Linked DNA regions of Anolis sagrei. The protein of the gene in region 1 purifies or fractionates together with the protein of each later gene. This does not show direct contact. Links are inferred from orthologs where the notes say so. Each region holds a gene or a part of one and is shown in the gene's direction. Other genes may lie near its edges. The genes, in order: ANAPC1, ANAPC7, LATS2 and ANAPC2.

Region 1 (7,823 bases):
AAATAGAAAAGAAAGAATAGAAAAAGAAAAAAGAAGAAAATCTTGACTTCTGACTTATCTTCATTCAACTACAAAGAATAACATAGGCATCACCTTCCAATGTATTGCCAAAGGCTTTCATGCATGGAATTACCGGGTTCTTGTGTGTTATGGCTGTATGGCCATGTTCCAGGAGCATTATCTCCTGATGTTTCTCTTGTATCTATGGCAGGCATCCTCAGAAGTTGTGAGGTCTGATCTCTGAGATTGTATCAATGTATGATCACAGCAGCTAGATTACTATATGCACAGAAATGGAAGAATTCAGCAGCAGAGATCAGAAGACCAGACGATAAACCTCACAACCTCTGAGGATGCCTGCCACAGATGCAGGCAAAATGTCAGGAGAGAATGCTTCTGAAACATGGCCATACAGCCCAGAAAACACACAACAACCCATAACTCTCCAAGTTTCTTAGTATTATTTTTTCTTGGGCAAAAATCCTTTTCAATTTGGTTTTCAAATCTTACAATCCTTTCCATCTTCATGCCAAAATTCAATAAAAGGTTCCCAGTCATGCAACATTTTTTCCAATGTTCCTTGTTTTTTAATAAGCAGCTTAATTTATCTACCTCACCAAGTCCATAATTTTTATCATCTAGTCTTCTATTGTTGGTGCTGAGTTCTTCCATTTCTGCCCATATAGTAATCTGGCTGCTGTGATCATATATTGAAACAATCTACTATAGTAATTTGTATCATTCAATCCAAGTAAAGAAGTATCTGGTTTTACCTGGATATTTTTCCCAAAAAATTTCTGGATCAACTTATGGACTGAATCCAGTATTTCTTGGCAATTTACATGTCCACCACATATGGTAGAAAGACCCCACTTGTTGTTTACATTTCCAGCAAGTGTCGGAAACCTCTTTAAACGTTTTAGAAAGCTTTTCAGGAGTCATGTATTATTGGCACATCATTTAATTCAGCATGCACTACTGAAAATAAGGATTCTTTTCACTGTAATACAGTCGTTGGCCACAAGTTGTCGCATGTGTGACTAATTAGGCAGTCATACCATAGTGCATGTTGAGATATTTAGGGTGAGAACAGTGTTCAAGCCCTTGGCCTTCCCAGGTAATTTTCAATTTTCTATTGGCTTCATGGTTATCTAGGTGGAAAGCACACACTTGTATCTTGGCAGAGTTAGGCTTCAGGTGGTTATCTTTGTTTTTGTTTTTGTTTTTTTTTCATGTCAAGAGCGACTTGAGAAACTGCAAGTTGCTTCTGGTGTGAGAGAATTGGCCATCTGCAAGGATGTTGCCCAGGGGACGCCTGGATGTTTTGATGTTTTACCATCCTTGTCGGAGGCTTCTCTCATGTCCCTGTATGGGGAGCTGGAGCTGACAGAGGGAGCTCATCCATGCTTCTGGCCCAGTGTATCTGTCCGAACGGATCTCCCTCTATGTCCCACCCCGGAGTCTAAGATCTTCTGGAGAGGTCCTGCTCTCGACCCCGCCTCTATCACAGGTGAGATTGGCGGGGACGAGAAGCAGGGCCTTTTCGGTGGTGGCCCCCCACCTGTGGAACTCACTCCCCGGGGAAATTAGATCTGCAACATCGCTCCTTTCTTTTAGGAAAAAACTAAAAACATGGATCTGGGACCAGGCATTTGGTCAGGCGGGCAGATAGAGAGAGAACTTTATGGATGGCTAGGAAATGACTAATGGACTGGACACGAGGAACTCTGGAAACGAAACGCTGATTATAAGAATGTTTTTATATGATATTTTATATAATATGTTGGGCACCGGTTGCTGATGTTTTAACTGTGATGATCGTTTTAATTATATTTCTGTATATTTATTTTTGTATATTTTTGTATACTATGTGTAGTGTATAAAGGCATCGAATTCTGCCTTCTTTGTAAGCCGCCCTGAGTCCCCCTCCGGGGGTTGAGAAGGGCGGGGTAAAAGTACCAGAAATAAATAAATAAATAAATGCTTTCCCTAGATTTGAACCTTCGACCTGTTGGTTTTCAGTCCTGCCGTCACAAGAGTTTAACCCATTGCGCCATGGGGAGCTCTGTTATCTTTGTAGTAGCTGGAGAGATCTTTCAGGGGATTAGTAAATTGCTTGTTGACTTTTGCTTATGTTGTTAGGCCAAGGTCATCAGCGTTTATAAAGCTCTTTGTGAGTGGTGGTTGTGGCTGATCCTTAGTAAAGATGTTAAACAAGGCTGGTGCAAGAAGGCTGCCTCGAGGTAAACCTTTTTTTTCTTTTTGCCTCTTCCACCTACTTTTCCTGCCCTGAAACTCCATATAGAAGCTGCAGTTTTCTAGGAGGGTCTGCATAGTTTTTATAAAACCATAGTTCCGGGTGATATGGTAGACTTTATGCAGCATGTCCAGTTAGTTGTGTTAGATTCAAATGGATTTATTTATTTGTTGTTGTTGTTCATTCGTTCAGTCGTCTCCGACTCTTCGTGACCGCATGGACCAGCCTACGCCAGAGCTCCCTGTCGGCCGTTACCACCCCCAGCTCCCTCAAGGTCAGTCCAGTCACTTCAAGGATGCCATCCATCCATCTTGCCCTTGGTCGGCCCCTCTTCCTTTTGCCTTCCACTTTCCCCAGCATAATTGTCTTCTCTAGGCTTTCCTGTCTCCTCATGATGTGGCCAAAGTACTTCAACTTTGTCTCTAGTATCTTTCCCTCCAGTGAGCAGTCGGGCTTTATTTCCTGGAGGATGGACTGGTTGGATCTTCTCGCAGTCCAAGGCACTCTCAGCACTTTCCTCCAACACCACAGCTCAAAAGCATCGATCTTCCTTCGCTCAGTCTTCCCTAAGGTCCAGCTCTCACATCCGTAGGTGACTACAGGGAATACCATGGCTTTGACTAGGCGGATCTTTGTTGCCAATTAGGCGGATCTTTGTTGTATTTATTTAGGACATTTCTATCCCGTTGTATCTCGACCTCCGCAGAGGGACTCAGGGCGGCTAACAACCAACACACCATGGTGTCCACAACCAAAACCAAAAGCAAAAATATACAATTTAAATAAAACCAATATAAAAACAGTATAAAAACATTCAAACAGTCAGTCGCCGATTTAAGTCATTGCCCTAAAAGCAGTCCATTAAGTCCATTAAAGCCATCACTTTGCCAGCCGGTCAACCTAATCTGCAAAGGCCTGATCCTATAGCCAGGATGTCACTTGTTTCTGAAAGGTCAGGAGGGATGGAGCTGATCTAATTTTGCTTGGAAGGGAGTTCCACAGCCAAGGGGCCACCACAGAAAAGGCCCTGTCCCTTGTCCCCACCAAACGCAATTGTGATGATGGGGGGACAATGAGAAGGGTCTCCCCGGATGATCTTAGGGTCGTAGGTGGATCTTAGTGGGAGATATGTTCAGGGCTTTATAGGCCAAAGCCAACACTTTGAATTGTGCTCGGAAGCTAGCAAATATTGTGCTCGGAATCTACCAAATATTAGGTTAGGCCAGGTCTGGGCAAACTTTGGCCTTTCAGATGTTTTGTTTCCAACTCCCACCATTCCTAACAACCTCAGGCCCTTTCCTTTTCCCACTCAGCTGCTTGAGGGGGGAAATGGCTTCAAACTACAAGAAAGGAGTCTGAGTCTGAGTGAAAGAGGGTCTACTCTAGCAAACCTTTTGTATTGTTACCCCAATACCCCCATGCATATGAGATATATTGAGCATGGTGATCAGATCATGATATGAATAAACATAACAGTTTAAATAATGTACCAGTAAGGCCTTTTTGCAGACCACCATGAAAATTGGGGGGGGGGGGGGCTGAAGCCCCCCAAGCCCCCCCCCCCCGGCTACATGCCTGTATGAGGCTGTTAGGAATGGTGGGAGTTGGTGTCCAATTCAAGGTGGTGGTTTTGATCTACAAAACCCTACACGGTTCCGGTCCAGCGTTATCTGTCCTAACGCATCTCCCTCTACGTCCCACCTCGGAGTTTGAGATCATCTGGGGAGGCCCTGCTCTCGACCCCACCGCTATCACAAGTGACGGTGGTGGGGGACGAGGAGCAGGGCCTTCTCAGTGGTGCCCCCCCACCTATGGAACTCACTCCCTCCTCTCCTTCAGGAGGAAATTAAAAACATGGTTGTGGGACCAGGCCTTCGGGCAATCTGACAACTAGATAAAGACAATTAGACGACTAGGACTGGCAGGACTGACAAAGTGGAATTGGTATTTGGACTATGAGATGGCGAAGGCTGAGTGTTAATTAGGTGAAATCGATTTTATTGGTTTTATTGTTGCAGTGCAGAAACTGATTGTGAATTGTTTAATTGCTGCTATATTGTTTTTATTCTACTGTTATGTTGATGCCGGCATCGAATCGTGCCTTTGTAAGCCGCCTCTGGGTTGAGAAGGGCGGGGTAGAAGTAACCAAAATAAATAAATAAATAAAAACAACTGGAGGGCCCAAGTTTGCCCAGGCCTGGCCTAGCCAGTATTTGCCCCTTCCTTGCCTGAAACCTCAACACAGCAGATCCAGATTGTCAAAGCAGACAATCTGGATTCAGAAAAGTGGATTATATGGCAGTGTAGATGGGGCCATAAAAGGTTTTCACCAAGGATAAATAAATCAAGCATCCCAATGAGAAGCAAGGCCAAGGAATACAAGGGTATCCTGGTTGCTATAGTAACAGCAGCTGGGCCTAGGCCAGCCGCCTGTTGCCATGGGAACAGTAGAACGGAGGTCTCCCTCTTCTGCTTCCCTCCATCCTTCCTGCCTGACTTGGGAAGCCTCAAAGGCGCCGTTTTACTGACATCCGTTAGCCCCGCCTCCGGCCTTGTCGCGGGTGGTGATGGGAGTTGCAAGATGGCGGCGCCCGTGTGAGAAGCTGAGGGGAGAGTGTAGTGCCGCCGAGAGGACTTCGCTTGTTGTTGCTGTCCGGGGAGAGACGGGGGAGGAGCCGCTGGAGCCCAGGCCCGCCGCCCGCCGCCCTTTCCTGTGTCACTCAGGTGGGCGAGCCTCCGTTGCCCTCGTCCTGGGCCCTTTCAGCAGCAGCCATGCTTCCCGCCTTCTCTCCCCTTCATTCAGTCGAAGAGTTAATGCAGCTTGAGACAACTTGAACCCTGGGATTTGTAGCTTGGTGGGGCACCCACACTCTTTGGCTACTACAAATCCCAGCATCCCAGAATGGGGGATGCCTGGCTTATTGCTGGGGTTAGGTTCCAGGACCTCCCGCAATAATTGAAAAACTGCGATGTAGGGATGCTCTATCTATTTAATTTAATATTTATACATTATTTTAGTAGTTATACACTATTCTAAGTCTTTATAAACTTAAAGTGAAGGAAAGGAAGAAAAGGCCCTTCAAGGCTGGAGGGAGGACTGAGGAGCGAAAGCAAAACACCAAAAATACAGCAATATATATTTTAAATTAATAATTTTTGAAAACCGCGAAACAGCGAGTCTGCTAAAAGCGCGAAGTAGCGAGAGAACACTGTACGTGTGAGAAAGATCTTGGAGTCCTCGTGGACAGCAAGTTCAACATGAGCCAACAATGCCATGCAGCAGCAAAAAAAGTCAATGGGATTTTGACCTGCATAAATAGGAATCTAGTGCCTAGATCCAGCGAAGTCATGCTACCTCTCTGTTTTGCCTTGGTTATACCACACCTGGAATACTGTGTCCAATTCCGGGCATCACAATTGGAGGGAGATGTTGACACTGGAATGTGTCTAAAATGATCAAGGGTCTGGAGAACAAGCCCTGGCAAAAGTATGGTAGCTGGGATCCTACGCTGGTTGCACAACACTGGTCTGAATTAATGAGGGGAACACGTGTGCAAGACAGCACAGCGGAGCTGTGTCAGAGTCGTGGCAAGGTAGTTCGCCAGAAAGGGGAAGAGGAAACATTTCTATTCCATTTACCATCTTTGTAAGCCGTTGTTTATTATTTAACAGTAAATAACTCTAACATTACTTCATTCACCTTAAGCACTATGCTTGGCTGTTTGTTGTGTAACTCCTTTGGTTTGGTTGTAGCAGATCTTAGCTGAATCCATTTTACACCTATTGAGTGGTCTGGGTGCCTTAATTTTAGAGCACTGAAAGAAAAGGGAGTAGTAGAATTGAAGATTTTTTTGGTTGTGTCAGGAGCGACTTAAGAAACTGCAAGTCGTTTCTGGTGTGAGAGAATTGGCCGTCTGCAAGGACGTTGCCCAGGGGACGCCCAGATGATTTTAATGTTTTTATCATCCTTGTGGGAGGCTTCTCTCATGTCCCCGCATGAGGAGGTGGAGCTGATAGAGGGAGCTCATCCGCCTCTCCCCGGATTCGAACCTGCGACCTGTCGGTCTTCAGTCCTGCCGACACAAGGTTTTAACCCACTGCGTCACCAGGGGCTCCAGAATTGAAGATAATACTATGTAACAAAATTTGAAAAAAAAATCTTCCTGGTTTGAAAGTGTTATTTCCTGTTTAATTGTGCAATACTTACTTTGAAAGTAGTTATTCTACTTCAGAAACTTTGTTTCTGTGATTGCCACAAACTATGTTGAATTGGTTGATATAAAATATTCATTGAAAAACTAGAGCAAAATGTGTTGCAGGATATCCCGCAAAAACAAAGTTTTTGCAGTTTGATAACTGTTTTCCATCTTTTAATGATAGAACCAATTAGGAAATGACAATTATAACCTAGGAACAAAATTTGTATTACATAGTGTATATGTTGAGCAAAAGTATTGTGGCAACTTAAACATTAGCAACTTTTATCTGATGTAAGTTTTCATAGATTGCAGCCTGCTTCTTTAGATGCAGTAGAAGAAAGTGGGCATAGTCAGCAAATGCATACAATTTGTAAAATTTATTTGTCTCTTAGGTGGTACAATAACTTAATATGACTGCATTTATATGTCAACTGTCAAGTTATGGTGACCTTATGAATTTCATTGCTTGGGAAACTTGGTGGTAGATTTGTACTTCTTTCCTCTGAAATATAGCCTACATACAGCCAGTGGTTTTCCAAATAATAATCAGAACTGACATTACTTACCTTCCAAGTTCAGATAGGATCTGGTGTCATAGGGTATTTAGGTCATGCTGCCATTCTGAAAATGGTTTCACTGTTGAACACCTTCTGTCTGCATTTTGGTCTTTTTTCAGAAATAATGTTGATATTTGGAACTCATGTCGAACATCTATGAAGAGAGGGTAATGATGATTGCAGCAGGGGATTTGCAGGAGTTTGTCCCTTTTGGCCGTGACCACTGCAAGCACCATCCTAATGCGTTGAACCTGCAACTTCGGCAGCTGCAGCCAGCCTCGGAAATTTGGTCGTCAGATGGAGCAGCTGGTTTGGTGGGGTCGCTTCAGGAAGTTACAATCCATGAGAAACACAAGGTAGGAAGTGGCACTTTTGAAAATACAAATGTATAACTTACACCAAAAAAAAAAAAAAAAAAGATAAGCAAAGAACAGAGGAAAGCAATACAAAGCTGCAAAGGAAAAGGCAGGGAAACATAATGATCTGTTAACCTAAATACTAACTCATAAATATGCCACGCATGTGGATCCCTTTGCTTAATGAAAACTCAGTGAAATGTGAAAAACATGTATTTTACCTGGAATAAAGCTGTAGATGAGCAACACTTGAAGCCTTGTCTTCCATCATTATATATTTATTACTTATATGTCTCTTTTCTTCTGGCATGGCTCCCAAGGCAGCTCCCAAGTAAACTTGGTTAAAACCTTACAGTAAATAAATAAAAACAATTAATCTGTCTGCAAAGGGAAACCAAGGAAAAGCCAGCGTAGCCTTCCTTAGAAGTCCATTACAGATTGTGGGAAATTCCCT
Region 2 (7,771 bases), on another chromosome or scaffold:
TTCTAGGTGGAAGGTGGTCCCGGTCGGGGTTGGCTTGACTCGCCTTCCTCTTGGCACATTTCTCTTTCGCCCTCCATTCATGCCTCTTCAAACTCTACAGCACTGCTGGTCACAGCTGACCTCCAGCAGGAGTGCTCAAGGGCCAGGGCTTCCCAGTTCTCAGTATCTATGCCAGAGTTTTTAAGGTTGGCTTTCAGCCCATCTTTAAATCTCATTTCCTGCCCACCAACATTCCGCTTTCCGTTCTTGAGTTCGGAATAGAACAATTGCTTTGGGAGACAGTGGTCGGGCATCCAGACAACGTGGCCGGTCCAGTGGAGTTGATGGTGGAGGACCATCGCTTCAATGCAGGTGGTCTTTGCTTCTTCCAGCATGCTGACATTTGTCCACTTATCTTCACAAGAGATTTGCAGGATTTTTCAGTGGCAACGCTGATGGAATCATTCTAGGAGGTGCATGTGATGTCTGTAGACAGTCCATGTCTCACAGGCGTATAGCAGGGTTGGGAGGACAATAGCTTTATAAACAAAGTGCTCTTCCAGCAGTCACCGGCCAATCCCTCTCCAATGCCAGAAATACAGCTTAATGGTGTAACATTAGAGTTGACCATTTCTGCTACTTGGCAGCCACCTCTCCACAAAAGTCAACACTGACACCGAAATACAACACCGCCTGAGCTCTGTGAGTGCAGCATTTTTCCAAATGAAGCAGAGAGTGTTTGAGAACCGGGACATCCGTAGGGATACCAAGGTGCTAAAGGTCTTAAGCCTTCCCTATCAAGCTACCTCTGCCATGGTCTCATAGCATTGAGGCCCTTCCCACACAGCTGAGTAATACCTCACATTATCTGAGTGTGGGCTCAGATAACCCAGTTCAGAACAGATATTGTTGGATTTTCTGCCAGATATTCTGGGTTACATGGCTGTGTGGAAGGGAACAGTTAAAACTCGTGCGCCAACTGCGCCCGTACCTTGGGAAGTCTGACTTGGCCACGGTAGTCCATGCTCTGGTTACATCCCGTTTAGACTACTGCAACGCTCTCTATGTGGGGTTGCCTTTGAAGACGGCCCGGAAGCTCCAGTTAGTCCAACGCTCGGCAGCCATGATACTAACTGGAGCGGAGCGCAGGGAGCATACAACTCCTCTGCTGCACCAGCTCCACTGGCTGCCGATTTGCTACCGGGCTCAATTCAAAGTGCTGCCGTTGGCCTTTAAAGCCCTAAACGGTTCTGGCCCAACTTACCTATCCGAACGTATCTCGGCCTATCAGCCCACCAGGACCCTAAGATCTTCTGGGGGGGGGGCTGCTCTCTATCCCGCCTGCTTCACAGGTGCGGCTGGCGGGGACGAGGGACAGGGCCTTTTCTGTGGTGGCCCCGCGGCTATGGAACGCCCTCCCCATGGAGGTAAGATCAGCCCCCTCATTGATGGTTTTCCGGAAAAGACTAAAAACCTGGATGTTCGAGCAGACGTTCGGTTAACTCAGTGCAATAAGTGTAATTGATTGAAGGACTGGCAATTTGGACGACGAAACTGGATCGCGATTTTAGTCAAGAGATGAATTGGATTGTTTATTGATATATGTACTGTGGATTGTGTTTTTATGTTTTTAAACTGTATACTGTTGTTTGTTATAAGTTGTTGTAAACCGCGTTGAGTCGCCGGCTAGGCTGAGAAACGGCGGTATACAAATATAGCAAATAAATAAATAAATAAACTGAGTCAGGGCAGTTAAAGTGGTGTTAAAATGCATTCATTCTACAGTGTAGATGCTATGACTCTGGAGAAGAGGGTTCAAATCCCCACACAATAGGTGACTCACACTCTCTCAGCCTCTACGGATTATTTATTTATTTACTCTACTTATATACCGCTGTTCTCAGCCCGAAGGCGACTCACAGCGGTTCACAACAAACAAGAACAGCAGAAATTCAATGCTCCAATATAAAAACAATTAACAACCTAACACATTACACACTTAGAAAACAATTACTACAATAACCATTCACTAGCGTCTCATCACTAAAGGACAGGATCCAGAATCGTCATCCATTGTTCCATTCCTATGTCATTACAGTTCATTGCACTAATTCTTCGAACGCCTACTCAAACAACCAGGTCTTCACTTTTTTGCGGAAAACTATTAGAGATGGTGCTAGTCTAATGTCTGTGGGAAGGGTGTTCCACAGCCGAGGAGCCACCACCGAGAAGGCCCTATCTCTCGTCCCCGCCAGCCGTGCTTGTGAAGCAGGCGGGATCGAGAGCAGGGCCTCCCCGGAAGATCTCAAAGTCCTGGTGGGTTCATAGGCCGAGATGCGGTCGGATAGGTAACTTGGGCCGGAACCGTTTAAGGCTTTATAGGCCAACGCCAGCACCTTGAATTGAGCCCGGTAGCAGATCGGTAGCCAGTGGAGCTGGTACAACAGGGGGGTTGTGTGCTCCCTGTGTTCCGCTCCTGTTAAAATCATGGCTGCCACACGTTGGACTAGTTGAAGCTTCCGAGCCGTCTTCAAGGGCAACCCCATGTAGAGAGTGTTGCAGTAGTCTAGACGGGATGTAACCAGAGCGTGGGCTACCGTGGCCAAGTCAGACTTCCCAAGGTACAGGCGCAGCTGGCACACAAGTTTTAACTGTGCAAATGTTCCCCTGGTCACCGCCGAAGCTTGGGGTTCCAGGCTCAGCGATGAGTCCAGGATCACACCCAAGCTGCGAACCTGTGTCTTCAGGGGGAGTGCGACCCCATCCAACACAGGCCATAACCCTATGCCCTGTTCAGCCTTGCGACTGACCAGGAGTACCTCTATCTTGTCTGGATTCAATTTCAATTTGTTCGCCCTCATCCAGACCGTTACAGCGGCCAGACACCGGTTCAGGACCTCGACAGCCTCCTTAGTAGCAGGTGGGAAGGAGTTACAAAGTTGGACATCATCTGCGTACAGATGACACCGTACCCCGAAACTACGGATGATCTCTCCCAGCGGCTTCATGTAGATGTTAAACAGCATGGGAGACAGTATTGAACCCTGTGGAACCCCACAAGACAACGGTTGTGGGGTTGACCAGGTGTCTCCCAATAACACCTTCTGGGATCGGCCCTCTAGGAATGACCGGAGTCACTGTAACACAGTACCTCCAAGTTCCATCCCCGCGAGGCGTTCCAGAAGGATACCGTGGTTGACGGTATCGAAGGCCGCTGAGAGGTCCAGCAGCACCAACAGGGACACACTCCCCCTGTCGAGCTCCCGGCGTAGATCATCCACTAAAGCGACCAAAACTGTCTCAGTTCCATGTCCCGGTCTGAAACCAGACTGTGCCGAATCCAGATAATCTGTGTCTACCAAGAATACCTGGAGTTGTGAGGCCACCACGCATTCCAGGACTTTGCCCAAAAAGGGGAGATTGGACACTGGCTGAAAGTTGTCAAATTTAGGGGGGGTCCAGTGATGGTTTTTTCAACAGCGGTTTTATTATAGCTTGTTTTAAGCTCGCTGGAATATTGCCTTCCCGAAGGGAGGCATTAACCACCACCTCAACCCACTCAGCCAATCCCCCTCTGGCCTCCTTTAGAAGCCAGGATGGGCAGGGGTCCAGGATGGACGTGGTAGGCCTCATTCTTCCAAGTATCTTGTCCACATCCTCGGGTTTCACCAATTGAAAAGAATTACTGTTATGCCTTCTGGCCCTAAGGATATAGGCCAGTGTTTCTCAACCTGGGGGTTGGGACCCCGGAGGGGTCGCAAGGGGGTGTCAGAGGAGTCGCCAAAGACCATAGGAAAACACAGTATTTTCTCTTGGTCATGGGGGTTCTGTGTGGGAAGTTTGGCTCAATTTTATCATTGGTGGGATTCAAGGGGCTTTTTGATTGTAGGTGAACTATAAATCCCAGAAACTATAACTCCCAAAGATCAAGGTATAATTTCCGCAAACTCCACCAGTGTTCACATTTGGGCATATTGAGTATTAGTGCCAAGTTTGGTCCAGATCCATCATTATTTGAATCCACAGTACTCTCTGGATGTAGGTGAACTACAACTCCCAAAACTCAAGATCAATATCCACCAAACCTTCCAATATTTTCTGTTGGTCATGGGAGTTCTGTGTGTCAAGTCTGGTTCAATTCCATCATTGGTGGAGTTCAGAATGCTCTTTGACTGTAGATGAACTATAAATCCCAGCAACTACATCTCCCAAATGACAAAATCAACCCCCCCCCCCCCCAACCCCACTGGTATTCAAATTTGGGCGTATTGGGTATTTGTGCCTAATTTAGCCTAGTGTATAAAATACATCCTGCATATCAGATATTTACATTATGATTCATAACAGTAGGCAAATTCCAGTTATGAAGTAGCAACGGGAAAAAAGTGTTTGGGGTTCACCACAACATGAGGAACTGTATGAAGGGGTCACGGCATTAGGAAGGTTGAGAAACACTGAGAGAGGCTTTTCTCCGAAAAAGGACACAAGCAGCCTTCCGTGCCTCGCCGCGCATGCTCAACACCTCCCTCGCTCGTCTCTCGCTTCCATAGTCACGACTCGGGAAAGGTGTCTACAGCAGTGCCTGGTTTTGTTTTATTTTAAAAATCACCCCTTTGCAAAGGACTTTTTAATTTTTTTAAAAAAGGAGGAAAGTTATAGTTAGCTGAAGTAGGAGAGTAACCCCGCAATGCGTAGAATGGAAGTTCCCCCTGAGGCTGACAGGCGAACGCCGGGGGCAGCCTTTCCTCGGTGAGGGTTGTTGTGGAAGTGTCAGGGCGGCTTTTTCGGCGAGGACCCTTCGGGGAGGCGCCATTTTAGACTTGCTGAGAGGACTCTGTCCGTTACGGCCGACTTGAAGTACGCTGTTTTTTCGTTCCCGTCCCTCTGTCGAGTCTTTCCGAGGCCATGAGCGTGGTGGACCATGTTCGGGAGATGGCAGCGGCGGGGCTGCACTCCAACGTGAGGCTCCTGAGCGGCCTCCTCCTTACGATGAGCGGCAACAACCCGTGAGTGAGGCGCTGGAGGCCGACACGGGAGGCTTGGTGGCCTCCGACCCGCTTTCAACCCAAAGGAGAGTTGGTGGAGAAGCCTTGCAGGCACACTGAGGACCCTTCCACACAGCTGAATCAAATCCCACATTTGAACTGGAATATATGGCTGTGTAGACTCAGATAACCCAGTTCAAAGCAGATATTGTGGGATTTTCTGCCTTGAGATTCTGAGTTACATGGCTGTGTGGAAGGGCCCTGAGTTATATGGCTGTGTGGAAGGGCCTTCCAGGCAGGCCCATTATCCCAGGATCTAATCCCAGGTTTTCTGTTTATAATAATAATAAATAATAATAAACTTTATTTGTACCCTGCCACCAACCTGTGTTGGACGGGGTTACACTCCCCCTGAAGCCACAGGTCCGCAGTTTGGGAGTCCTCTTGGATTCATCGCTAATGCTTGAGGCTCAGGTGTCGGCGGTGTCCGGGAGGGCTTTCGCACAATTGAGACTCGTGCGCCAACTGCGACCGTACCTTGCGAAGGCTGATCTGGCCGGGGTGGTCCATGCCTTGGTCACCTCCAGATTGGACTACTGCAATGCGCTCTATGTGGGGCTGCCCTTGAAAACAGCTCGGAAGTTCCAACTGGTCCAACGGGCAGCAGCCAAGATGTTAACTGGCGCTCCTTACAGAGAGAGGTCAACCCTCCTGTTCAAGGAGCTCCACTGGCTGCCGTTTATTTTCTGAGCCCAATTTAAGGTGCAGGTGCTTACCTACAAAGCCCTGAACGGTTTGGGACCATCCTACCTGCGTGACCACATCTCCGTCTACGAACCCACGCGTTCACTGTGGTCATCTGGAGAGGCCCTGCTCGTGATTCCGCCTGCGTCGCAAGCACGTTTGGTGGGGACATGAGACAGGGCCTTTTCTGTGGTGGCCCCCCGACTCTGGAACACCCTCCCCAAAGATCTTAGACAGGCCCCTACATTGGCAGTCTTCAGAAAGAACTTGAAGACCTGGCTGTTCTGATGTGCCTTCCCAGATTAGGAAATCTCCAATACCAAGTCCCATAAGCACTTTATTAGAACCAAGATTGTTGCACATCGCACTCTGCACTTGCCCTATAAGCCTTATATACCACCTGTCACATCAGCACTTTCAATCTTGTACCCATTACTCTGGCCCGGCCCAGTTCTATTGTGTCTTAATATATTGTTGATTGCTTATTGTTTATATTGCCTTAATTGTTTTTAATTTGCCTTAGGTTTTGTATTGTTATATTGTGTGTTGAGGCCTTGGCCTTTGTAAGCCGCATCGAGTCCTTCGGGAGATGCTAGCGGGGTACAAATAAAGTTTAATAATAATAATAATAATAATAATCTCCCCAATGGGGACTCGAAGCGGCTTACATGAGGCCAAACCCGAACAACAAATTACAATAAAATAAAACGCAAATGGTAAAAGCAACATTGTAATAAAATAAAACATGTAAATACGTAACAATAATAATATAAAGTTACAATAGACGCAATCACAATGACAGTGGGCGGGCTGCATGTAATGATTAAAAGAGACTAATTAAAACTAATTTAAAACTCTGGTGAGATAAAAAGAGACAGATTATTTGTGGAGGAGAACTCATTATAGCAGAGTTGTGGAATCAAGCTTTCCCACAGAGGGGGGACGACATATACTCCAATGACATTTATCATTTATTCCAGATTATCTGGCAGTGCGGACTCATATAATCCAGTTCAAAGCAGAAAACCTGGGATCAGATCCTGGGATAAAGGGCCTGTCTGAGGGTCCTTCCACATAGCCCTATATCCCAGAATAACAAGGCAGAAATCCCATAATATCTGCTTTGAACTGGGTTATCTGAGTCCACACTCAGATAATGTGGGATTTCCTGCCTTGATATTTTGGGATATAGGTCTGTGTGGAAGGGCCCCAGAATATCAAGGCAGAAAATCCCACAATATCTTCTTTGAACTCTAATATCTGAGTCCACACTGCTATATATTCCAGTTCAAAGCAGATAACTTGGGATTTTATTCACATCTGTGGAAGGGGCCTCATAGAATCCAGTGCAAAGCGGATGTGAATCATCAGCTTCAATAATCTGGATTATATGGAAGTGTAGAAGGTGCCTCAAAGTGGTTTGCATTAAACACATTTCAACAATAATAATAAATAAATAAATAAACAAACATTATTTTTAGACCGCCCTATCTCCCCCGGGGAACTCGGGGCAGTTTACACATACAAAGGGAAACATTCAATGCCCGACATATACCAAAATATTACAGCAATAAAACATAATACAGAATAACAACAACATTATACTAATCAAATAAAATTAAATATCAAGATATCAACATAGAACAACTAATCACTAAACAAATACATTTAAAAGCATGATCAACAGTAAAACATCTAACGTAGTCAGCGCCGTTAAAAATTGGGTAAGCATTGGCTGTTAGTTGTTCTTAACTGTACCATAATGGCCATGAAGTACAGATTGGACAGCCTGCAATAGAATTTCAAAGCAGCAAATATACAGACATTACAACAGAATTCAATGTCATGGGTATTTTTAAATGCAGTGAAAATCCATAAAATATGATAGCGGCAAATAGAAGCAGTGTGATATCTTACCAATAACTGCTTTGGTTTTCTTTAAAAAATATGGGTATTTTAGGCCTCTTCTACACTTCCATATAATCCAGATAATCAAAGCAGGAAATCCACATGATCTGCTTTGAACTGGATTCTGTGAGTGTACACTGTCATATAATCCCGTT
Region 3 (7,898 bases), on another chromosome or scaffold:
TAGCATGGACTGTTGAAGCTGTTTGCAATTTATAATGAAGATTTCAAATTATGTATGTATGTATTTTTAAAATGCAGTAGCTATGTGCCGAGTATGATATATTCCTGTGTGGAAAGAGTTAACTGAACCATGGAGGGAATGGCATTCCTAGAAAGGTCATAAATCAAGCGTATAGAACAAAAGGATGCAGCGTTGTGCATCGTATGTCATACGTCACTCTGGAATGCAAGAGGTGTGGACTAGTACTGATAACAGTTTGTGTGTTCACAATGTTACGATGGGACAGTAAAGAAGCAAGTTTACAATGTGCTGAGTGTTAAGTAGCTTCTAATGTATATAGCTGTAAAATAAAGAAGTTTATAGCATAAGGTGGCTGTGATTGATCTGTTCCTGCTTTGCTGTGCTGCCGATGCCACTGACATGGACCACCGTGGTTGTGAAAGGCATTGCTTTGCCCCACAACATTCGGGATGTAACAAGAGCACGGACCACCGTGGTTGTGAAAGGCATTGCTTTGCCCCACAACATTCGGGATGTAACAAGAGCGCGGACCACCGTGGTTGTGAAAGGCATTGCTTTGCCCCACAACATTCGGGATGTAACAAGAGCGCGGACCACCGTGGTTGTGAAAGGCATTGCTTTGCCCCACAACATTCTTTCAGCCCTGAATTTTTTTCCTGAGGTCCTAATGATTTAGAAGATGGTGTCTCCTTCAATTCTGAATCGAGTAACTGGCAGCACGGTGAAAATACCAAACATATTCAGTTTGTGCAACCCCCTTTTTTCCCTATGGAATGCAGCGATTTGAAATATATGTTACCACATACAGAGAGAAGCTGCAGTACTGATCCGTGTGTTTAATTACACTGAGATTAATAAACAGCAGGTCTTTGGGTTCAGAATTAAATTGAGCAAACAGTTATATCCCATTCTAGGACTTGTTGCAACAGGTCCAAACTCTCCAATCTGTATAATTTAATATCAATGTACCAGCAACAAACTATTGCCATTAACAAGGAATACCAAAATTGTGGGTTATTTCTCTGTCTTATCAGCGAAAAGGGAAGCCAAAGTGCCAGAATCAGAGATCAAGATAAACAAAAGGCTGGGTTCCATGACAGGAATACCTCAGCTCAGCTGCAGTGGACAAAAGTTGGGCTTTGGGTGCATGTACATTATAGGACAAATGTAGTTCGAGACCACTTCACCTGTCATGGGAGAAAGAACTCGTGTCTGTTTGAGGCAAGTGTGAATGTTGCAATTGGCCACCTTGATTAGCATTTAATGGCCTTGCAGTTTCATAGAATCATAGAATCAAAGAGTTGGAAGAGACCTCATGGGCCATCCAGTCCAACCCCCTGCCAAGAAGCAGGAATATTGCATTCAAATCACCCCTGACAGATGGCCATCCAGCCTCTGCTTAAAAGCTTCCAAAGAAGGAGCCTCCACCACACTCCGGGGCAGAGAGTTCCACTGCTGAACGGCTCTCACAGTCAGGAAGTTCTTCCTAAAGTTCAGATGGAATCTCCTTTCTTGTAGTTTGAAGCCATTGTTCCGCGTCCTAGTCTCCAGGGAAGCGGAAAACAAGCTTGCTCCCTCCTCCCTGTGGCTTCCTCTCACATATTTATACATGGCTATCATATCTCCTCTCAGCCTTCTCTTCTTCAGGCTAAACATGCCCACCTCCTTAAGCCGCTCCAAGCCTGGCTTCTTCCTGCCTGTGGGAATCCTTTGTTGGGCAGTGTTAGCGGGCCTTGATTGATTCTTGTCTGGAATTCCTCTTTTTTTAGTGTTACTCTTTATTTACTGTCCTGATTTTAGAGTTTTTAAAATACTGGTAGCCAATTTCATTGGACAATTTCAACAGAAAGGAGGAAACAATGAAAATGAACAAAATCTGGCAACTAGTATTTTAGAAACACTAAAATCAGGACAGTAAATAAAGAACAACTCTTAATAAACAGGGGAATTCCAGACAGGATACAATCAGGTCCAGCTAACAACTCCCAACGAAGTATTCCCCCCCCCGGCAGGAAGCAGCCAGGCTTTGAAGCTGCAAGGCCATTCAATGACAATGAAAGTGGCCAATTGAAACATTCACACTTGCCTCAAGCAGACCAGAGTTCTTTCTCCCACCCTGGACATTCCACAGATATATAAACCTCACTTGCCTAGTTTCAAACAGACCTCACAACCCCTGAGGATGCCTGCCATAGATGTGGGCAAAACTTCAGGAGAAAATGCTTCTGGAATACGGCCGTACAGACCGGAAAACTCACAGCAACTCAGAGGTATCTATGTTCTTGATATCAAGGAAGACAAGAGGAGGGGGCGGAGAAAGTGCGCCTAACTCTAGGCCCCGCCCATTCCAACCACTTGATGGGCGGAGACAGAACGTTTAACTTCAAGCCCCGCCCACTCAAAGCCCCTTTTTTGTTGTTGTTGTGAGAGAATTGGCCTGGATGATTTTTGATGTTTTATTATCCTTGTGGGAGGCTTCTCTCATGTCCCCGCATGAGGAGCTGGAGCTGATAGAGGGAGAGCTCATCCGCCTCTCCCCGGATTCGAACCTGCGACCTATCGGTCTGCAGTCCTGCCGGCACCGTGCTTTAACCCACTGCGCCACCGGGGGCTCCTACTCAAAGCCCTTAATGGGCGGAGACAGAAGCCTAACTCTAAGCCCCGCCTATTTGGAGCTCTTGATGGGCGGAGACAGAACGCCTAACTCTAGGCCCCGCCCATTCCAAGCCCTTGAGAGGCCTAACTCCAAGCCATCCCTATTTCGAGCCCTTGATTGGCGGAGACAGAGCTTCTGAGTCCAAGCCCCGCCCATTCCAAGGCCTTATTGAGCGGAGACAGAACTTCTAAACCCAAGCCCCGCCTATTTGGAGCTCTTGATGGGCGGAGACAGAAAGCCTAACTCCAAGCCCCGCCCATTCCGAGCCCTTGATGGGCGCAGCCAAAACGCCCAACTCCAAGCCCCGCCTATTTGGAGCTCTTGATGGACAGAGACATCTTCAAGCCCCGCCCATTCCACCCCTTGATGAACGGAGAAAGAGTTCCTAAGCCTAAGCCCCGCCCATTCCAAGCCCTTGATGGGCGGAGACAGAACGCCCAACTTCAAGCCCCGCCCATTCTACTCCTTGATGAGCAGAGACAGAGCGTCTAAGTCCAAACCCCGCCCATTCCAAGCCCTCAATGGGCGGAGACAGAACCCTAACTCCAAGCCCCGCCCATTCGGAGCCCTTATTTATTTATTTCTCGTGTCAGGGCAGCCAGTCAATTATATTACATTTCCAACAGAACAAAGCAAACAAACAGAGAAAATACAAAATTTGTGAGTTTGGTAGTTGATCAAATGTCCTTTGACCAGTATCTGGCCACTTGGAGTGCTTCTGGTGTTGCTGCAAGAAGGTCCTCCATGGTGCATGTGTCAGGGCTCAGGGTGCATTGCAGCAGGTGGTCAGTGGTTTGTTCTTCTCCGCACTCCCATGCCGAGGATTCCACTTTGTAGCCCCATTTCTTAAGATTGGCTCTGCATCTCGTGGTGCCAGAGCAGCCTGTTCAGCGCCTTCCAAGTCGCCCAGTCTTCTGTGTGCCCAGGGGGGAGTCTCTCATCTGGTATCACCCATGAATTGAGGTGCTGGGTTTGGGCCTGCCACTTTTGGACTCTCGCTTGCTGAGGTGTTCCAGCGAGTGTCTCTGTAGATCTAAGAAAACTATGTCTTGATTTAAGTCGTTGGCGTGGTGGCTGATACCCAAACAGGAGATGAGCTGGAGATGTCTCTGCCTTGGTCCTTTCACTATTGGCTGCTACTTCCCGGCGGATGTCAGGTGATGCAATACCAGCTAAGCAGTGTAATTTCTCCAGTGGTGTAGGGCGCAGACACCCCGTGATAATGCGGCATGTCTCATTAAGAGCCACAGCCACTGTTTCAGTGTGGTGAGATGTGTTCCATACTGGACATGCATACTCAGCAGCAGAGTAGCATAGCGCAAGGGCAGATGTCTTCACCGTATCTGGTTGTGATCCCCAGGTTGTGCCAGTCAGCTTTCCTATGATATTGTTTCTCGCACCCACTTTTTGCTTGATGTTCAGGCCGTGCTTCTTATAGGTAAGAGCACAGTCCAGAGTGACTCCCAGGTATTTGGGTGTGCTGCAATGCTCCAGTGGGATTCCTTCCCAGGTGATCTTCAGAGCTCGGGATGCTTGTCTGTTCTTGAGATGAAAGGCACATGTCTGTGTTTTAGATGGGTTGGGGATCAGCTGGTTTCCCCTGTAATAGGCAGTAAGAGCACCTAGAGCTTCGGAGAGCTTCTGTTCAACCATCTCAAAGCTCCCTGCTTGAGCTTTGGTTCCAGAAGTAACCAGCATTCAACCCCTTGATGAGCGGAGACAGAGTTCCTAATCCTAAGCCCCGCCCATTCCAAGCCCTTGATGGGCGGAGACAGAACGCTCAACTTCAAGCCCCGCCCATTCCACCCTTGATGAGCGGAGACAGAGCTTCTAAGCCGAAGCCCCGCCTATTTGGAGCTCTTGATGGGCGGAGACAGAACGCCCTAACTCGAAGCCCCGCCCATTCCAAGCCCTTAGTGAGCGGAGACAGAGGTTCTAAGTCCAAACCCCGCCCATTCCAAGCCCTTAATGGGCGGAGACAGAACGCCTAACTCCAAGCCCCGCCCATTCGGAGCCCTTGATGGGCGGAGACAGAGCTTCTAAGTCAAATCCCCGCCTCTTTGGAACTCTTGCTGGGCGGGGACAGAACGCCCTAACTCGAAGCCCCGCCCAGTCGGAGCCCTTGATGGGCAGCTGGGGCCCCGCCTCCTGGCTGGTATGCGAAGGGCGGGCGGTGGAATGACGCCGGGGCCCCGGGGGTCACGTGGGGGCGAAAGGAATGCTAACAATGTAGCGAATGTCCCAACTGTGCGGGGCTGCTGCCGCATTTCTGGGCGCGAGGCGGAGGGAGGCGAGAAGAATGGAGAAGCAGCAGCAGCAGCAGAGGCAGCAATACGAATATGATGATTTGCGGGGCGCCTTCCGAAGCAGAAGCCAAGCTGTTCCCAGAGTGGTGGAAGTTTCCCCTTGATCCTTTTTCCCCCAGGAAAGAAAGAAAGCAAGCAAGCAAGCTTCCCTTTTGGAGGTAAGGAGCGCAGGAGGGGTGGGGCTGGGCGCCTTCCTCCTCCTTCCTTCTCCCAAAGCCCTTCTTGCTTTTCCTTCCTTGCTTCGGAGCAACAAGTCCGGGGAAGCTGTCGTGCAAAAGTTACTCAACTTGGAAGTATGAGAAGGAGAAACCCCGGGCATTGCAATGGCTCCTTCTTGGAAGTTGGGAGGGAGGAGTGGAAGGCTGGATGGTCATCTGTTGGGAGGGCTTTGGTTGTGTATGCCTGCATGGCAGAATGGGGTTGGAATCATCATCATGGTGGAGCCTCCTTCTTTAACTCCTTGAAGCTTTAATTCAGCAACTGGATGGCCATCTGTCGGGAGGGCTTTGGTTGTGTATTCCTGCATGGCAGAATGGGGTGGAATCATCATCATGGTGGAGCCTCCTTCTTTAACTCCTCGAGGGTTTTATTCAGCAGCTGGATGGCCATCTGTTGGGAGTGCTTGGGTTGTGTGTGTTTTTTCATGGCAGAATGGAGTGTTTGGGTTGTGTAGTCTTATATGGCAGAATGGGGTTGGACTGGATGGCCCTTGGGGTTCCCAACCAATTCTCCCTAACAATGCATTCCAAGTGGTGTTAGACTGCACTAATTCTGCAGTGTAGATGCTCCAGAACATACATGGGCAAACTTGGGCCCTCCAGGTGTTTTGGACTACAACTCCCACAATTCCTAACAGCCGGTAGGAATACTTATTATTGATAATAATATTGCAATATATTGCAATATAATACTAATAATGCAAAATGGTAATAGTATTTTATATATTACATGTAATATTACTAATAGTATTGCAGTATAGTAATACAAAATACTAATATTGTACTAAGCTAATAATACAATATGATAATCGTATTTTATATGTAATATTAATAATAATATTGCAACATAGTGGTATAGTAATATATAATACTAATATTGTACTATGCTGATAATATAATATATTGTATGTACGTATAATATTGAGCATAATATTGTAATACAATATAATCTTAAAGAATACAATATAATAATAATGTAATAATTATATATTACACTATAATAATTGTATATTATATAGTCCATGTAATATTACTAATAACATTGCAGTATAGTGTATAGTAAAATATAGGAATATATAATACTAATATTGTACTATGCTAATAAAATAATATCCTGTATGTACATATAATATGGATCATAATATTGTAATACAATATAATCCTAAAGAATACAATATAATAAAACAATAATTATATATTACATGTAATATATAATGTTGATAATACTATTATAATGTAATACAATGTAATGCTAATAATATTACAATATACTAATTGTATATTAAATATTACATGTAATATTACTAATAATATTGCAGTATAGTGGTATAGTACAATATAGGAATATATAATACTAACATTGTACAATGCTAATAATATAATGTATTTTAAGTATATATAATATTGATCATAATATTGTAATATAATGCAATAAACTAATAATACAATATAATAATTCTGTACTATATAATACATGTAATATTACTAATAATATTGCAGTATAGTGGAATATATAGGAATAGTGGAATATAAATAGGAATATATAATACTAATATTGTGCTATGCTATATATTGAATGTACATGTAATACTGATCATAATATTATAATACAATATAATAGTAATAATACAATTTGCGCAGTTGGTTAAACCGCTGAGCTGCTGAATTTACTGACCGAAAGGTTCACAGTTCAAATCCAGGGAGGGGGTGAACTCCCACTGTTAGCCTCAGCTTCTGCCAACCTAGCAGTTCGAAAACATGCAAATGTGAGTAGATCAATAGGTACCACTTCTGCGGGAAGGTAACAGTGCTCCATGCGGTCATGCCAGCCACATGTCCTTGGAGATGTCTAGGAACAATGCCAGCTCTCTAGCTTAGAAACAGAGATGAGCATCACCCCCCAGAGTCGGTCACGACTAGACTTAAAGGTGATGGGGAACCTTTACCTTTACTAAAATCAATATATTGAAAAATTTGGTGGATCTTAGATTCAATGACATCTTGGAACAGAATAAATAAGATATTACTATTCATGTTTTCCCAGTACTATCATCACATGGCATTCATAGAAGCAGGGCCGTAGCCAGAAAAAAATTTCGGGGAGGGTTGAAAATTTGGGGGGGGGGGGGTGTGTGTGAAAATTTTGGGGAGGGTTGAAAATTTTGGGGGTGGGTGGGGTTGAAATCTGCTTCCTAGCTCACGCTGAAGCAAAGAGCACAGCAGGGGGCAGAGCAACCTTCAATAGCCTGCAGCTCCACCCCTGTCAACCACCTCCACCAAGTCTGGCCCCCAACTTGGTTGCTTCACTACATCGGCTATTGCTGCAAGTAATAATAATAATGAATAAATTGTCAATATTTGCTTGAGATAGTGCTTACATTTCTGGAGGGACTCTTGATTTTTTTGCATCTCATAGACTTAGCATGGGGATTTGGTTAACCAGTTAAAATTCATGAGTAAACCAGTTTTTTTAAAAAAAATCTGAAACATTTCGGGGGGGGGGGTTGAACCCCTAAAACCACCCTCTCGCTACAGGCCTGCATAGAAGTTCCTTCTCAATTTTTATTTATCAACGTCTTCCTCAAATTTCTGAAAACTACTAGTCTCTCTCCCACCCCCACATTAAAGTCAAATACAAAAAAAGTTTCAAAATATTTTTTTTGCCAAAAATAGTACTGTTTTAGATTTGAATGAGAG
Region 4 (7,263 bases), on another chromosome or scaffold:
CAACAAAGTACGGGAGCCTTCGGAAAACAAAATCCTCTTTATTATACATTACTTTGCCTATGAAACACCTCCCCGAGAAGAGCCCAGAGTCAGAGGGATTGGAGACCAACCCTTCAGTTGTCCTTCGCTGCGGGGGGTTTGGATTCCGTGGCTCCCGTGGCACGGCTGAGGTTCCCTGCCTCCTTCCGCAGGACACTGAGCAACGTCTGGGAACTTTCCAGGATCTGGGAAGCAGGAAAGGATTGCATTTTTATGTCTGTTTTTTTGGGCTACGGCTAGACAAACATCTAAAATGGAGTCTTAGTCTGCAGCCCCTCCCACAACAAAGAGTTAAAGAAAACTGCAAACCAATACACAATGCAATAAGCAATTACATACATAAATTAATAAATTAGACATATTAGATTGATTGATAGATGGATAGAATGATAGATAAGATAGATAGATAGATCAGATAGATTGATCAGATTGATTAGATAAATTAGACAATTTGATTGATAGATGGATTAGATAGATTGATAGATGGATTAGATAGATTGATAGATGGATTAGATAGATTGATAATTAGATAGATAAGATTGATTTATTAGATAGATAAGATATATCAGATAGATAGATAGATAGATAGATGATTGATAGGTTGCTATTTCCAACAGTACAGCCTCATATAACCCAGCTCAAACTAGATAATCTGAATTCAGAAACTGGATTATATAGCAGTGTAGATCCCTAGCAGAAGCCCCCATCCCCCTCATTCCCCGCACCTTCATGTAGGCGGCTTCAGTCTCGGCGATGGTCTTATCGAACTCGTTGCGGGAGGCCATCTTGCGGGCCAGGTTCTCGTTGACGCGGGCCAGGCGCTCGGTCAGGGTGCGGATCTCGCCCTGGAGCCTGCCCTTCTCCTCCTCCTCCTGACGTATCTGCTTGGACAGCTCCTCCCGCTTCAGGCACAGGTCCTCGATGCCTAGAAGGATGGAAGGAAAGGGCAAAAGCATAGGTCAGGGGTCTCCAAACTATGGCCAATGGGCCCATTTAAGGGACTCCAGCCCCTTTGTCTCAATCAGGGGCCACTTGGAGAAGGCCAAGGCCCTGAAATACACCCAAAGGCACCAGATCCCATTGCTCTTGGGAGCTAAGCAGGGTCCACCCTGGTTGGACTTGGATGGGAAACCGACAGTGAATCCTTCCTGCTGCCGTAGGTGATGCTTCAAAAGAAGGTTGTGTCCACACTGCATGGAAGTGCCTTTCCAAGCTGTCCCCCCACCCTTTGGTTCCTCTAATTTTCATATTTTGCGTGTAATTGTTTCTCAATTTTCGGTTTGAGTTGTCCCTATTTACATGTCCGCATCCCCCTTTATGAACCCGTTTGGGCTTTAAGATAAGCTGGAGGGGGGCCTCCTCTCGATCCCATCCCCGTCGCAAGTGAGGTTGGTGGGAACGAGGGAAAAGGCCCTCTCAACAGAGCCCCGCTCCGGCTCTGGAGTGCTCTCCCCAAGGAGATCAGACAAGCAGCCACTCTCACGACTTTTAAGAATTATTTATTATTTATTTATTTCAAAGTTTTATATACCGAGCTTCTCACCTCATAAGAGGGACTCAGCCCGGTTTCCAACCATAAAAACACATACAATCGGTAAAATATCAAAATACACATTACAATAAAACATTTAAAAAGCACATATATTTAAAACTACAGTGGTCAGTCGTCATACTAAAATCGAATATACACCGTCTTCCATCCAGATCATTGTCTCATTCTTCGAAAGCCTGTCTCCATAACCACGACTTCGCCTGTTTCCTGAATGTCAGGATTGTTGGGGCGGTTCTAACCTCTGGCGGGAGAGAGTTCCAGAGTCGCGGGGCCACTACCGAGAAGGCCCTCGTTCCCACCAGCCGTGCTTGTGAGGCCGGTGGGGCCGAGAGCAGGGCCCCTCCAGACGATCTTAGTAATCTTGATGGTTCGTAGGGGGGAATATGTTCGGAGGACTTTGAAAGAAGGACTTTGAAAATGATTAGGTTAATACCTTTTAATTAACTGCTGCTCTGGGCCAGTGGAAGGGGGGGGGGCAGGAAGGCAGTTCCACCTTGTCTCCAGGCTATACTAATAATAGGTATAATATAATATAATAGTATATACATATATTTATAATATTACAATGTAATACAATATAATACTACTACTAATAATACAATATTAAAATTATATGTTTTATATTACATGTAATATTAATAATAATATTGCAATATAATGGTATAGTACAATATAGTAATATATAATACTGATATTGTACTATGCTAATAATATAATATATTGTATGTATATATATCTTGTAAGCCGCTCTGAGTCCCCTTCTGGGTGAGAAGGGCGGCATATAAATGTCGTAAAAAATAAATAAAGTGGACGAGGTCTTTGTTTTAGTGTTATGGATATATGCTGATTAGGATATTTTGGCTTGTATTTAACTTATTGGAACCACTGTGTTTTAATTTATTTTTTTACGGTTTATTGTTTAATTTGTCTATTTTTTTTGTTTTCCCTTTTTCGCTGATTTGTTATTTATTTTGTATATATTACTTATTGTATTTATTTATGCTGTAAGATAACCCGAATTCTTTTGGGGAGATGGGGTGGGATATAAATAAAGATTATTATTGTTGTTATTATATATCTAATCAATCAACCTATCATCTATGTATCTATCAATTCATCTATCTAATAAATCAATCTCATCTATCTAATCATCTCCTCTAGCTAATCCATCTATCAATCCAACTAATCAATCAATCAACCAATCTGTCTAATTTATCTAATCTATCTCTCTAATCTATCTGATCTATCTAATCTATCTATCAATCAATCTAATCTATCTATTATTCTATCTATCCATCTAATTTATCTATCGCTCTATCTTTCTGGTCTATCTGATCTATCTATCCAATCTATCAATCTAATCTACCTACCTACCTATCATTCTATCTATCTACATCAATCAATGACACTAATCTGTCTAATTAATCTGTCTATCTATCTGATCTAGCTATCTAATCTATCAATCTAATCTATCTATCCATCTAATTTATCTAATCTATCTCTCTATCTTTCTGGTCTATCTGATCTATCTATCCAATCTAATCTATCTACCTACCTACCTATCATTCTATCTATCTAATCCATCTATCAATGACACTAATCTGTCTAATTTATCTAATCTGTCTATCTGATCTAGCTATCTAGTTTTATCAATCTAATCTATCTACCTAATCCATCAATCAATCTAATTTGTCTAATGTATCTAAAAAATCTCTCTAACTGATCTATCAATCTAATCTATTGATCATTCTATCTAATCCATCTATCAATCAATCTAATCTGTCTAATTTATCTAATCTGTCTCTTTGATCTATCTATCCAATCTATCAAACTAATCTATCTACCTACCTATCATTCTATCTATTTAATCCATCTATTGATTAAACTAATCTGTCTAATTTATGTAATCTATCTCTCTAATCTATCTATCTCTCTGTCTATCTATCTATCTGATCAATCTATCAATCTACCTATCATTTTATCTATCTAATCCATGGATCGATCGATCAATCAATCAATCAATCAATCAATCAAATCTGTCTAATTTATCTAATCTGTTTCTCTAATCTATCTATCTAATCTACTCTATCACTCTATTTATCTAATCCATCTATCAATCAATTTAATTTATCTATCTAATGAAATCTATCTATCTGCCTTTGCCCTGTGTTGTGCCACCCGCCTCGAATTTCTATTGGAGGCGAAAGGAAGGCGGGGTCATGACGTCACTGGATAAACAAAGTGTTCGCGCTGTTCTAGGCCCCAAACTACATTTCCCAGGAGCCCACGCGGGAGAAGGGACGCCACAGTTGAAGCGTTTTCACCCCTTAATAGTGCGGAGGCACCCCAAACCCCTCTCCTTCCCTTTTCTCCCCACGTGTCCCCGCTTTCTGACTCCGAGCCCCGACCCGAAAAGGCCCCAAAGGTCTCTCTGCGACGCCGGCCACAGTAGGCCGCGTCTCCATAGCAACGCGAGGCCTACACTTCCGGCCGAAGCCTGAGCGACGCACATTTGACCAGCTCGTTGTTGTAGCTCTGCAGGGCGGCCCCTTGCTGGGTCATCCTCCGTCTCCGCGGGCTCGCCTTCCTTCCTTCCTCCCTCCCGCCGCGGAGAGCTCCGCCTCCTCTTCTCCGCTCAACGGCCGCCGCCTCAGAACGGAGCCCGCCTCCTCCGCCTCCGCCGGGATGGCCTTTCCCGCCGCCTGGCGCGCCCTCAGCACGGGCCTGGTCCCGCCCGCCGCCCTGGGCCTGGTACGAGCAGCCACGGGGGGAGCGGGGGTCACGTGTGAACTGGCCTCAGGTGACACGTGAAGGGTCGGGCAGGCATGGGCTCAAGTTTGCCCATGCCTGTTCTATAGTATGGAATATATTATGTTATGTTTTATTGTGTGGTATATAATACATTATATTGTATTTATTATTATATAGAATCATAGAGTTGGAAGACATCTCATGGGTCATGTATAGCAGTGGTTCCCAACCTGTGGTCCGTGGACCACTAGTGGTCCGCAAGACCTAAAATATGGTCCACAGCCTCACCATTACTACACTGTTGCAACGGGAGCAACTGGTCTCGCAAAACCCTCTAATAGTTCCGAGGCTAGTTAAATATGGTTTAAATATGTGAGCGAGCAGATGGCGACTACTGGATGCCGTATGTTCTGTATCAGAAACTAGAGCTGATGTGGTCTATCCAATACAATTTTCTGATTCAGCACCCCAGATAACCAAACTGAATCTAAAATTGACCAAAAACTGATTCGTAACCCTTTTGGTACTAATGTTGGAGAGTGCTACCTGGCCAAAGTAGTCTCTGGTCAAGAAAAGGTTGGGAACCACTGATATATATGGGTGTGTGTATGTATAACAAGACATATATGTGTGTTTGTTTGTCTATATGTATGTATAAAGTAAAGGTAAACGTTTCCCCTTGGCGTTAAGTCTAGTCATGTCCGATTCTGGGGAGTGGTGCTCATCTCAGTTTCTAAACCAAAGAACTGGCGTTGTCTGTAGATGCCTCCCAGATCGTGTGGTCAGCATGACTGCTGAAGCGGTACCTATTGATCTACTCACATTTGCATATTTTCTAACTGCTAGGTTAGCAGAAGCTAGAGCTAACAGCGGAGCTCACCTCGCTATTCGAACCACTTTTCGGTCAGCAAGTTCAGCAGTGCAGCCCATCTGCTGCACCAACATGGGCTGTAGCTGTCCTTTCTTCTTCCCACTCCTTTGTGAACTTTCTGTCTCTGACGGGGCATGTGCTGTTGTTATTGTTGTAGTTGTTAATAATGTTATACGTCCCGCTTTCTTCTCTTAACAAGACTCAGGGCCTTTCCACACAGTCATATAATCCAGAATATCAAGGCAGAATATTTATTTATTTATTTATTTATTTATGGCATTTTAATGCTGTCCTTCTCATCCCGAAGGGGACTCAGAGCGACTTACAAGTTACATACAATATATTATATTATTAGCATAGTATAATATCAGTATTAAATATTACTTTATTGTACTATACCATTATATTGTAATATTATTAGTAATATTACATATAATATAAATATATATTTATATTTATAATATTATATTATTATTAGTGGTAGTATTATATTGCATTACATTATAATATTATAAATATTATATGTATATACAATATATTATATTATATTATACTATTTTATATTATTAGCATAGCACAGGAGACAAGATGGAACTGTCCCATGCCCCCCCCCCTTCACTATGGCCCAGAGCAGCAGTTGTTGCGGGGGGGGGGGGGGGATCCCCAACTGATGACATATGCAGGAGACAAGATGGAACTGTCCCCTGGTCCCATCTCTCTTCACTCTGGTCCAGAGCAGCAGTTAGTGCTGGGGGAGGGGTTCCCAACTGATGACATATCTGATTTGAGCTGAAACATCAGAATCCACACTGACATATATCCCAGTTCAAAACAGATAATGTGGGATTTCATTTGGCTGTATGAATGAAAGGGGCCTCAAAGTGACTCAAAAGGCTATAAACAATACAAATGACCCTTTAAAACCTACAACAACATAGAATGGCTAAAAGAGATAGCAAGGGACGCCTCATGCCTTGCACCTCTGGCTCAGTCTTCAAAGCTTTCTCCATTAAGTCTGCCTCTTGTGGTTTCCCAGGCGCTGGTGCCAGAGTCGGAGCCGGCAGACATCCCATCGGAGCGGGACCTTCACGCAGCGGTAGAGGTGCTGAAGGCCCATGGCCTGCATTCAGCGCTGGAGGAGTGGTTCCTGGAGGTACTGCAGATGGATCTGCAGGCGCGCATCTCCCCCGAGTTTTGGAGCGGCGTGTCCCAGCACGAGAACACGGCCGAAGAGGCTCAGTGCTCCCTCCTGATCCTGGATGCTTTTTCCCTCCTCTGGCGCCGGCTGGAACCCTACCTGCGCAGCCTGACCATGATGGAGGGCTGGACACAGGAGGGCTTGCTCCTCGGGACGGGCGCCCAGCCGCTCAGGGCCAAGGTACACAGCCTGCTTCGGGCCGTCCTCTTCTTCAGCACCCCTCATAGCTTCGGGGAGATGGTTCGGCAGTTCTATGGCCGCAGCTTCAAGATTTACATGTGGCGGAAGAGGAGTCGGGAGCCCAGGATGTCCGAGGGGGAGAGCGGCATGAGTGAGGACCACCAGGCAGAAAGTGAGGAGGAGGAGGAGATCTTGGGAGAGCCTGCCAGAAAAGGAAGCCAGTGCGCCGGGTGCGGGTGTCAGAGGGAGCGCTGCTGGTGCGTAACAGCTGTGGAGCACTTCCAGCAACTCAACAGTATTCTGTAAGTACAATTGTCTGCTTTTGGGAGGGGGGTCTGATGATGGAGTGAAGGGGACTTAGGGATGAAAGGGGGCCTGGGGGTCCTCTTGTGAGATTTGACCTCCATGCTGCTCTTTCCTTCAGCTTTCCTAGTTGGTGGATAATTGTTAAGAAAATGGGGGAGCTGTTTTCTGACATGTCTGAAAGTCGCCAGAAGGGGAAGGTATGCTTGATAAAGGATCCAAGAGCAACAACTAGTCTCCCCAAGCATCAAATGGAAGGAATATTAACCATAATTCCCAGCCTGTATGTCCAGTTCTCTTTGCTTGTAGACTTCTGTGTTCTACACCCGTTCCTTCTTCCTTTCCATTTCTGATTGTCACCAGAAGGTT

The links.
Region 2: the proteins of ANAPC1 (region 1) and ANAPC7 fractionate together in Homo sapiens (co-fractionation; 6 studies listed by BioGRID and IntAct, with this or other methods). This does not show direct contact. The link is inferred for Anolis sagrei from reciprocal best matches to the Homo sapiens genes ANAPC1 and ANAPC7.
Region 3: the proteins of ANAPC1 (region 1) and LATS2 purify together in Homo sapiens (affinity purification with mass spectrometry; 3 studies listed by BioGRID and IntAct, with this or other methods). This does not show direct contact. The link is inferred for Anolis sagrei from reciprocal best matches to the Homo sapiens genes ANAPC1 and LATS2.
Region 4: the proteins of ANAPC1 (region 1) and ANAPC2 fractionate together in Homo sapiens (co-fractionation; 8 studies listed by BioGRID and IntAct, with this or other methods). This does not show direct contact. The link is inferred for Anolis sagrei from reciprocal best matches to the Homo sapiens genes ANAPC1 and ANAPC2.

Annotation. Positions count from the first base shown.
Region 1 is NC_090021.1:24,115,022-24,122,844, reverse strand, and holds the start of ANAPC1 (anaphase-promoting complex subunit 1), read left to right. Parts: upstream 1-4,809; 5' UTR 4,810-4,981; intron 4,982-7,132; 5' UTR 7,133-7,156; coding exon 7,157-7,369; intron 7,370-7,823. UniProt on the Homo sapiens protein: Component of the anaphase promoting complex/cyclosome (APC/C), a cell cycle-regulated E3 ubiquitin ligase that controls progression through mitosis and the G1 phase of the cell cycle.
Region 2 is NC_090034.1:42,384,106-42,391,876, forward strand, and holds the start of ANAPC7 (anaphase-promoting complex subunit 7), read left to right. Parts: upstream 1-4,755; 5' UTR 4,756-4,884; coding exon 4,885-4,985; intron 4,986-7,771. UniProt on the Homo sapiens protein: Component of the anaphase promoting complex/cyclosome (APC/C), a cell cycle-regulated E3 ubiquitin ligase that controls progression through mitosis and the G1 phase of the cell cycle.
Region 3 is NC_090023.1:28,496,223-28,504,120, reverse strand, and holds the start of LATS2 (serine/threonine-protein kinase LATS2), read left to right. Parts: upstream 1-4,881; 5' UTR 4,882-5,141; intron 5,142-7,898. UniProt on the Homo sapiens protein: Negative regulator of YAP1 in the Hippo signaling pathway that plays a pivotal role in organ size control and tumor suppression by restricting proliferation and promoting apoptosis.
Region 4 is NC_090031.1:15,871,975-15,879,237, reverse strand, and holds the start of ANAPC2 (anaphase-promoting complex subunit 2), read left to right. Parts: upstream 1-4,258; 5' UTR 4,259-4,276; coding exon 4,277-4,342; intron 4,343-6,249; coding exon 6,250-6,893; intron 6,894-7,263. Other genes in the region: microtubule nucleation factor SSNA1, read right to left, coding at 114-224, 765-964, 4,102-4,153. UniProt on the Homo sapiens protein: Together with the RING-H2 protein ANAPC11, constitutes the catalytic component of the anaphase promoting complex/cyclosome (APC/C), a cell cycle-regulated E3 ubiquitin ligase that controls progression through mitosis and the G1 phase of the cell cycle.